2 linked regions of the Neodiprion lecontei genome follow. The protein of the gene in region 2 interacts with the protein of the main gene of each other region in a pairwise test. Links are inferred from orthologs where the notes say so. Each region holds a gene or a part of one and is shown on either strand. Other genes may lie near its edges.

What was found.
Region 1: the proteins of pelle-like serine/threonine-protein kinase pik-1 (region 2) and protein pellino interact in a two-hybrid assay, tested with the Drosophila melanogaster proteins (2 studies listed by BioGRID). The link is inferred for Neodiprion lecontei from reciprocal best matches to the Drosophila melanogaster genes pll and Pli.

What each region holds. Positions count from the first base shown.
Region 1 is NC_060263.1:2,901,518-2,905,449, forward strand, and holds the start of protein pellino, read right to left. Parts: upstream 2,914-3,932; 5' UTR 2,128-2,913; coding exon 2,117-2,127; intron 1,771-2,116; exon of another isoform or gene 1,756-1,770; coding exon of another isoform or gene 1,751-1,755; intron 1-1,750. UniProt on the Drosophila melanogaster protein: Scaffold protein involved in the Toll signaling pathway via its interaction with pelle/pll kinase.
Region 2 is NC_060265.1:9,923,401-9,927,332, reverse strand, and holds the start of pelle-like serine/threonine-protein kinase pik-1, read right to left. Parts: upstream 2,699-3,932; 5' UTR 1,959-2,698; intron 1,953-1,958; exon of another isoform or gene 1,761-1,952; intron 1,446-1,760; 5' UTR 1,415-1,445; coding exon 1,303-1,414; intron 1,111-1,302; coding exon 490-1,110; intron 289-489; coding exon 1-288. Other genes in the region: ATP-binding cassette sub-family B member 6, read right to left, coding at 3,060-3,452, 3,632-3,789. UniProt on the Drosophila melanogaster protein: Plays an essential role in the Tl receptor signaling pathway that establishes embryonic dorsoventral polarity; the signal directs import of dl into ventral and ventrolateral nuclei, thereby establishing dorsoventral polarity.

The sequences.
Region 1 (3,932 bases), on a different chromosome or scaffold from region 2:
GTATCAATAATGCTCATTAGAGCCTCACATTCATGAATTTTTTCGAACATTATTACTCTTACAGTAAAATATATACTAAGAACGTGTCCGAAACACGTCTATTTTAAATTGAGAAATCCTTCCTCTTACAGACACGGGTTACAGTTGATATAAAAATCTGAAAAAAATTGTGCATTGTTTTTGAATTATTTATAGTTGATTTGGTGGGATGATCCGGAATAGATTCGTCAACATTCTAAATGAGGACCATCCTAGTGTACATACCTATATGCGTAACGGTATGCCGATCAGGTTCAATTACCGAAAACCCTCGCTGACAAGCAGCGCGAAGCTCGTCAAAAGTGGATTGCCAATCCACACGATACAAAACTAAACGCAACCCTTTTCATACGTATACACTTCTGTCAGCTGTGCATGAAAAGGGAAGAATTATATTTAGGCCTATTCGGTACTGCAGCGTTTCACGGCTCTGTATATCGAAAAACAAAATCACGAGGTTGAAGTTTCTAACGTTACCCTAACGAAATGTTAAAGAGTGGGGGGGGGGGGGATCACTATTTTGCAAGTTTATATTAACTTTGAAGCAGTAAAGTTTTCGAAATATGAATATGATTCGTACTGAAATAACGATTTTTTCGAAATGTAAATGATTACAATAACGTTTACTAACTTCAGCTCCATGCAAAGTTCACCTTCTGAACTCAGGACTTGTGCTAATAATAATCGACTGATTTACGCCGAACTTGCGGTTTGTTTCAGACGATCGGTTCTGCAAGTAAAATCGTACGTGCACAGAGCATGAAAACGCTCGTTCGCCCTTGAGAACAACTCGCTCGGAAACATTCAAATATTTACAAATCTAACATTATATAGATAAAAGGTCGAGTCAGAGCATACTTCTTGTTGTTGGGCAAACAGACCCCGACCTTCATTGTCCTACAGTAATTTGGGTTCAAGGTATAATCGCAAATCAGTACGCAGTTAATTACGAGCAAAAAACTAAAAGTTCCTGCAGTTTATCATGTTTAGGAGAAAAATCCCGTTACTTCGCACATTTAGGATTATTTGAAATTCAGTCATCCGTGATGAACCAAACATACTCATATATTTCGAAAAGTCTGGTCTTTGAAAGTCATTCGGAAATTGCACGAATTTTACAGTCACTTTCGAAGCTGTCAAGTTTCTGAAGTAATAACATATTTATTCTTATTATGGTTTACCGCACTTCAGATATATTTCTAAAATACTTCGACACTTGAATCGTTACAATAACGTTACTAGCTTCAGCTGCATAACAATCATCAATTTATACTCCGTTTAGTTTCCCCCTCGATAGTTTGATGGAACAAAAAATGAACAGTACCGCAGTTACTTCTCAGTCGAACGATTTTTCTTCACATTAAATCCAACTAACGCCATTGAGTCTTTATCGCAAAAAATGAACAATAAAAACCAACCTGGAGGCGGTGTACATTATTATACATTTCGCGTTTGCAGCTTTGTGAAAAAATTTTCTTCGATGTATTCAAGATTTTAGGTATGTCGGGTAGCGTAAAAATATAAATTGATCATGGCTACGCTGATGTACTTGTGTCAATATTGATGCTGTGCTTGCTCCCATCTGCAAAATGCATGTGGCAAGCTATACGGAATAAACAAGACCTCAAAGCTTCGGGAAAATATTTAACAAGAACAGTGTATAAAGAACAAACGAATGCTCTTGAAAATTAATTTCTTTTTACCAACATACCCCATTTATTTTTTCACATTCAATGAATCGACACGTTCGATGATTCAGGAACCGGACGAATGACGTATGTAATGACCTTAGTGTTGAACTCTGTTTGAGTTTAAGTTAGGTTATGTTTTTTGTTCTGTAATTACAGTAGCGGTGTGTGAAAAGTCGATGAGTGGATAGTTTGACGTTTGAAGGGTGAAAAGACGTGTCGAAACAAGTTGGGCGCAATCGAGACCGATACGCGCAACACAGACACGGCCTCAGGAAATTTCAATATAAAAACTGTGATTGAAGTCAATGTAAGTATACGCACGTCGTGCATGACGTGCATGCAAAGTAGAAAGTGATTAATGAAAAGTATTAATATATTTTCGTTACCTTATCACCATCGCAGGTTCCGCGTTTGAGCCAATTTTGCTGCCTCGTTCGGCACACGTAACGGGGGCCACTTTGATAACGTTTACGTTTGAAGAAAACTTGCACGAGTTCTTAAGGGAAACAAAAGGACAAAGATAGGATAGGGAGAGTGAAAGAGAATGGGTTACTGTGTGTGTGGTTGCGTACGTGGGAGAGAGTGAGAAAGGGGGGAAGAGAGAGAGAGAGAGAGGAGAGAGCGAGAACGAGCAGGGTGGATGAACGGCGGGGAAGGGAAGAGAGAAATGAAAACAATGCGATTACACAGAAAAAAAAAAACTCGGATCGAGGACGACGGGTGTGATCCACTCGAGTTGTCAAACTGTAATCGAAGGTTGTTTTCACTGGATAAAATGGGCGGCGTTGGACTCTTCGGACGCCCTCAAACTGTCCTGATCCATGATTTCAGAATTTCAAGTCCAGCCACCGACGACGGCTCGACTCGGCGCACGAAACGGGGAGCGGGACACGGGTAGTAGTCAGTCTGTCGGTAAACTCGTTGAAAACGTTCAATCTATGTACCTTCACTTGTTACTGGATCACCATCACTTTGTGACACTCTTCAAGAATCGTACACTCTTATGGACGTGAGGTCCGTTCTGTGCCCGTGTGTAACACAACACGAGCTAGTGTTTTCATCGGGGATTAACAATCACGGGGCATGGCGACTGGTGCTGTAGTACCGTTCTACGCGATAGCAATATCTTCTCGGACAAACTCGGGACGCTCCGTGATCGGGACGCTCGAAACTCGTCTCGCTGCCGTCTCCCTCCCCCCCATCACCCCAACCGCCCTAAACCCCCCCTCCTTTTGCCGTGCCACATGTGCGCGCGCAAAGTTTACCAGCTGACCTCATCGGCCACGAACTAACGAGTTTTTAGACACGAAATGTCGACGAGCCTCGCGTTGCGAGCGTTCGCAGAACGTCCGTCATTCAACTGAGGATTATAATTAATGATCAGGATCGTTTCGATGGTCTCTAATAGAAATTGACTTAACTTTACAGAGGTTGATTATAAAAGACCTAACCTTGGCGTGACGATTATAATCCAAATAACTCTACGGTTCCTGATTGATAGAAATTATCTTCTATGCTCGTATGTACACAGGAGTTAACTGTTTTATCATCGAGGTCCGTAGAGTTACATGGATTATAAGCTTCACGTCAGAGTCAGGTCTTTTATAATCAGCCTCTCTAAAGTTTAGTGAATCTTATTAGAGGCCAACGACTTTAATCCTGATAGCGTAATGCAATGTAACAGTTGTCGCGTTGCCAATCATAGTGTCCTCTTCTGAACCGCGCGGTGAACTAGAGAATCCTCTATTCCTGTTTCCTCTTTGCGACTTTTTCGTCCTACTGTCCCACAGTATCGGCGAGCAGCCTTTTATTTTATCGTTAGTCGTAAGATTTTGCTTTCATAGAGGCCGATATGCATTTGAACAGTGCTGTAAAAATAGTTATGTAGATTTTTCATTCTTATTTCTCTGCAAAAATACTGGTGTAACGGGTCGGTTCATGTATGCGGATGCACCGCGTGGGTAATCCATAGACCAAGGTAATCAACATGCGGTAAATCCGCCTGTGTGTAGGCATTTCACGTTACTTTTTATGCCTAACATTTGTTGCCTGTTCACAGGAGGATTTACTATTCTCCGTTCTGTCTGGTGCGCATACAAAAGAAAAAAACCGTGAACGAAAATGTACACAACGAAAACATGTGTTTTTTAATTTACATACAATATACATAGCTGTAGTAATCCATTATCGTTAAATATTGGT
Region 2 (3,932 bases):
CTGTACCCGTGGCTATATTATGTCGTTGCAACCAATTTAGGGGTTGGGATCCTTGTCTCAAGGAAAGTTTATCTTCTAATGATCCATTTGGCATGAGTTGATATACTAGGCATGGGGCTTCTCCGCCTATGCTGTGACCATACAGTGGCAGGATATTGTCATGTCTCCGGGCGTACAAAATTTTCAATTCTCTTAAAGACTGTTCTACCTGGATCAAGTAGCTTTCCTTCGAATCAGAACCTCGTTGTTCTATTTTTTTAATGGCTACTGGGGTGCCTTTCCATATACCTAGATTTGAGAAGTGTTAAAGTCAGTACCAGTTGACAAATTAGTTACATGATTTATTTTTAAAACTTTTTTGTAAGTTGATTTGAATCCTATGTATACGAATTTATTTTCTAGTAAAATTTTCAACTGTCCAGAGATCATTCACCTAAGAATTATCTGTTTTGAATTGAATTATGTATGCATAACACGGTACACACTGACCTTTAAAAACTGTTCCAAAACCTCCTCTTCCCAGTATGTTGTGTTTGCTCCAATTATGCGTAGCTTTTGCTAATTCTTCATAAGATGGTTGAGGTAGGTCGGTATCAATAAGTGATATCTTCAATTGATTATTATTTTTAGAACCATCCACTACAGGTCTTGGAACTGGAGCAAGATTTTGATTTACACCAGTTGGTACAAGCATATTATCCGAATTGCTTGGATCTAGATCATTCGGCAGTGGGAACTTGTCTAACATTTTTGCCACTCTTTCGTACATTGTTTGATAAATACAAAGCTTCTGCACATCGCTTGAAGCTGGTTGAATGTGATTGAAATTGTTAGTTCCTATTTTCAGATCTTTTGAATGTTCGTCAGCTACATGGCAATTCAATAATTGTGCTGAAGGCCTTTTCCGGTTGGTGATAAGCTTGCTGTACTTGGGATTGACGAAATTTTTCAGAAGTAGCATTGCCTGATGGTGTTGCATCTTATATAATAAAAGGAACAGTTCCTGTACTGTATGATTGAAAGTAGTCCACATTTTCAAAAGCTTATCTGTCGGATTTTCGTTCTTTCTTAAACATTGAACAGTAGATACATCAAATTTCATCCATTTGCCTAAAGAAAGACGAATATTGTTTTTCACTATTCACTCTAACTTATAGTACGACATGGTATCAAGTTCAGCCGTTCGGTTCTATCTTAAATCGAGTCTAAATTTATTGATACGCTGCTTCCGACTGTTAATAAAAAATTAGCCAAACCTGACTTGGTCCTGATTTATAGCAAATTTATGGGTAAAAACGTTACCTGCTAGCTCTTCCCATTCATTGTTCTGATTGAGAATTCTGCATAATTCTTCTCTTTCAAGCCAAGGCAAATCATCGATATAAAGATTAGTCTGTCCATGCTGCACAGCCATTTCAGGATAGTCGATGACAAAGCCAAAAGCACTAGATCATGATGAAAATTACATTGAATTAAAATGTGAGGGATTGTATTTGGATTGAGAAACTATCCATCTTTGTAACAAGTTGCCAGTGGGCAATTATTGGAATTTGGAGGCCTTATGTGCTGTTAATGCCATGAGCAATATCTGGTGCCAGTTTCTATTGTTTACAAACAATAACATGGCAAGTGAAACAAGATAAAAGATGGTTGTGTTGGGTTAGTTGCGTTGATTACGTAGGCGAACATGACGATGAACTGCGAAGAATCTCAACAAAGTGTCACAAGAATCAAATAAAAGTGTTTTGCGAGTTAATTACCCTAGAAATAGTCAGATAGGTTAGAAGTTCGCGCGACAGACTGGATTTCGTTATATGGTTAAATGTTTGAAAATAAATTTAATTTTACATTGCGTGTTTAAATTTTACTAATATCTGATATTATATCTTGCATACTAATCTAATAGAATTAACGAAATAATCCTGGTTTACTCTCACGTCAAAACATATTTTTTTTACCTTCCAATTACACACTAGACGTTGACTGAAGACAGTTAGTTGTGACGTCACGCGTAACAGGTTGCTATACAAATGTCGAACGTCTTCAGTCTCCAAAAACCCCGACCTTTGCAACTAGCAAGTCGCAGCCTGATTGGCTGGTTTCCAGGCAAGCGGGGATGATGAAGTCACTGGTTCTTTCCCATAATTTCCACAGTGCTATTTTTAGACTTGAGGAAATAGACGACCGCGTGAAAAACTGCACCCTGCAGAGATCATCCGACCGGTAACTACGCTGTGCATGCATGCATAAGTATTAGAGTTCAGTGAAAATCTATCAACTGTACAGACGACTGTGTGACGAAAGAAACCGAAAACAATGCATTTAAAACAGAAGTCAGTTTTTTTTAATGACTTACATAAATATTCCAAACTTGGATCATATTAAGATTGTCGTGAAATCGCTGCTTACATATTGTCAGTTTGCTTGGCAACTTCATAAAAATCTATTCAAACCAAGGCTTGTATGTATCAAAGCTGAAGAATAAAGGGAGATCATCTAGTGATCTGTAGAACATATTTCATCACAAAATCACCATTCAACTTTGAATTCAAATCAGTTCTGAAAGGCTTTTTAAGAAATGAATATCACGAACAAATATCACTTTCCTCTAATAGGATTTAACTAACTTAAGAGCACATTAGAAACAGATTTTGGAAAGTGGAAGATAAAAATCGTAGTTTGTTGTGCTACCGGAAGCCATAAGTATTCGTTTTCGTCATCGATTCTTATTCAATCTGCCAAATAACAAAAGTCTGTTCTCTAACAAAAGATCTACACGTGGATAATTTTTTGACACAAAATTTTAACCCGAACAAAACTTTTGTCGTTAACGGGAAATATTGTACGAACATATGTAGACAAATGTTTTATGTATATCTCAAGGTGACAGAAAATACAATCTACAAATGAGAAATCAGAAAGTGTTTCTTGAGTATACTATATTAAGCTCTAAGATAAATACGTATACATAGGCATGACATAATTATCTACTTGTACAAATATACACATAGTACATGTACATGCGTACAAGTTATGTCATCAATTTTGATCTATTGGATCTAGGATGCCTTTTTATCATCGTCATCTATATCACCATTTTCTACAGCAACTTCACCGTTTTGATTGTTTTGTAGTTGCGCTTGCCACATGTTGTGATACACTGCGCCGTACGAAATTAATTCGTTATGTTTACCCCTTTCAATGATTTCCCCATCTTTCAAAACTAAAATTTCGTCTGCATGAATTATAGTTGATAATCTATGAGCAATTATAATGGTTGTACGATTTGCACAGACGCGATTTAATGCTGCTTGAATTGTACGCTCTGTCTGTGTGTCCAAAGCACTGGTAGCTTCATCGAGGAGAACAATCGTAGGTGATTTTAAAATTGTTCGAGCAATTGCAACACGTTGTTTTTCACCGCCACTCAATCGCAATCCTCTCTCGCCAACCTGTGTCGAAATAAAAAATACCCATTGGTCTTACAGCAAAGCCTGAGATTTTTAACGAATATTTTAAGGAAAATTTTTTAGATAGCAAAACATTCTACAGAAATTTTGTTAAAAAGTCCAAAGATTTTATACAAAGACATTTTCTGTAATGTTGTTAACAAGCATTAAAGTAAGCAAACCATTGTTTCGTATGCGTCAGGGAAACTTAGAATTCTTTCATGAATATCTGCATTCTTAGCTGCTGCAATGACATCAGCTTCTGGTGCTTCAATTTTTCCATACTGAATGTTATACTTGATAGTGTTATTGAACAATACAGTGTCCTGCGGCACAACACCTAAATATAAAAATACGCCAATCAGATTACAGACCCAAAATCTTATAATGATGAATAATAGATAGAAAATCTTATAATCAATGTATTACAATAATTGTATTAACATAAGTACAATTTTGGAAATTTGTAATGTCACGACAATT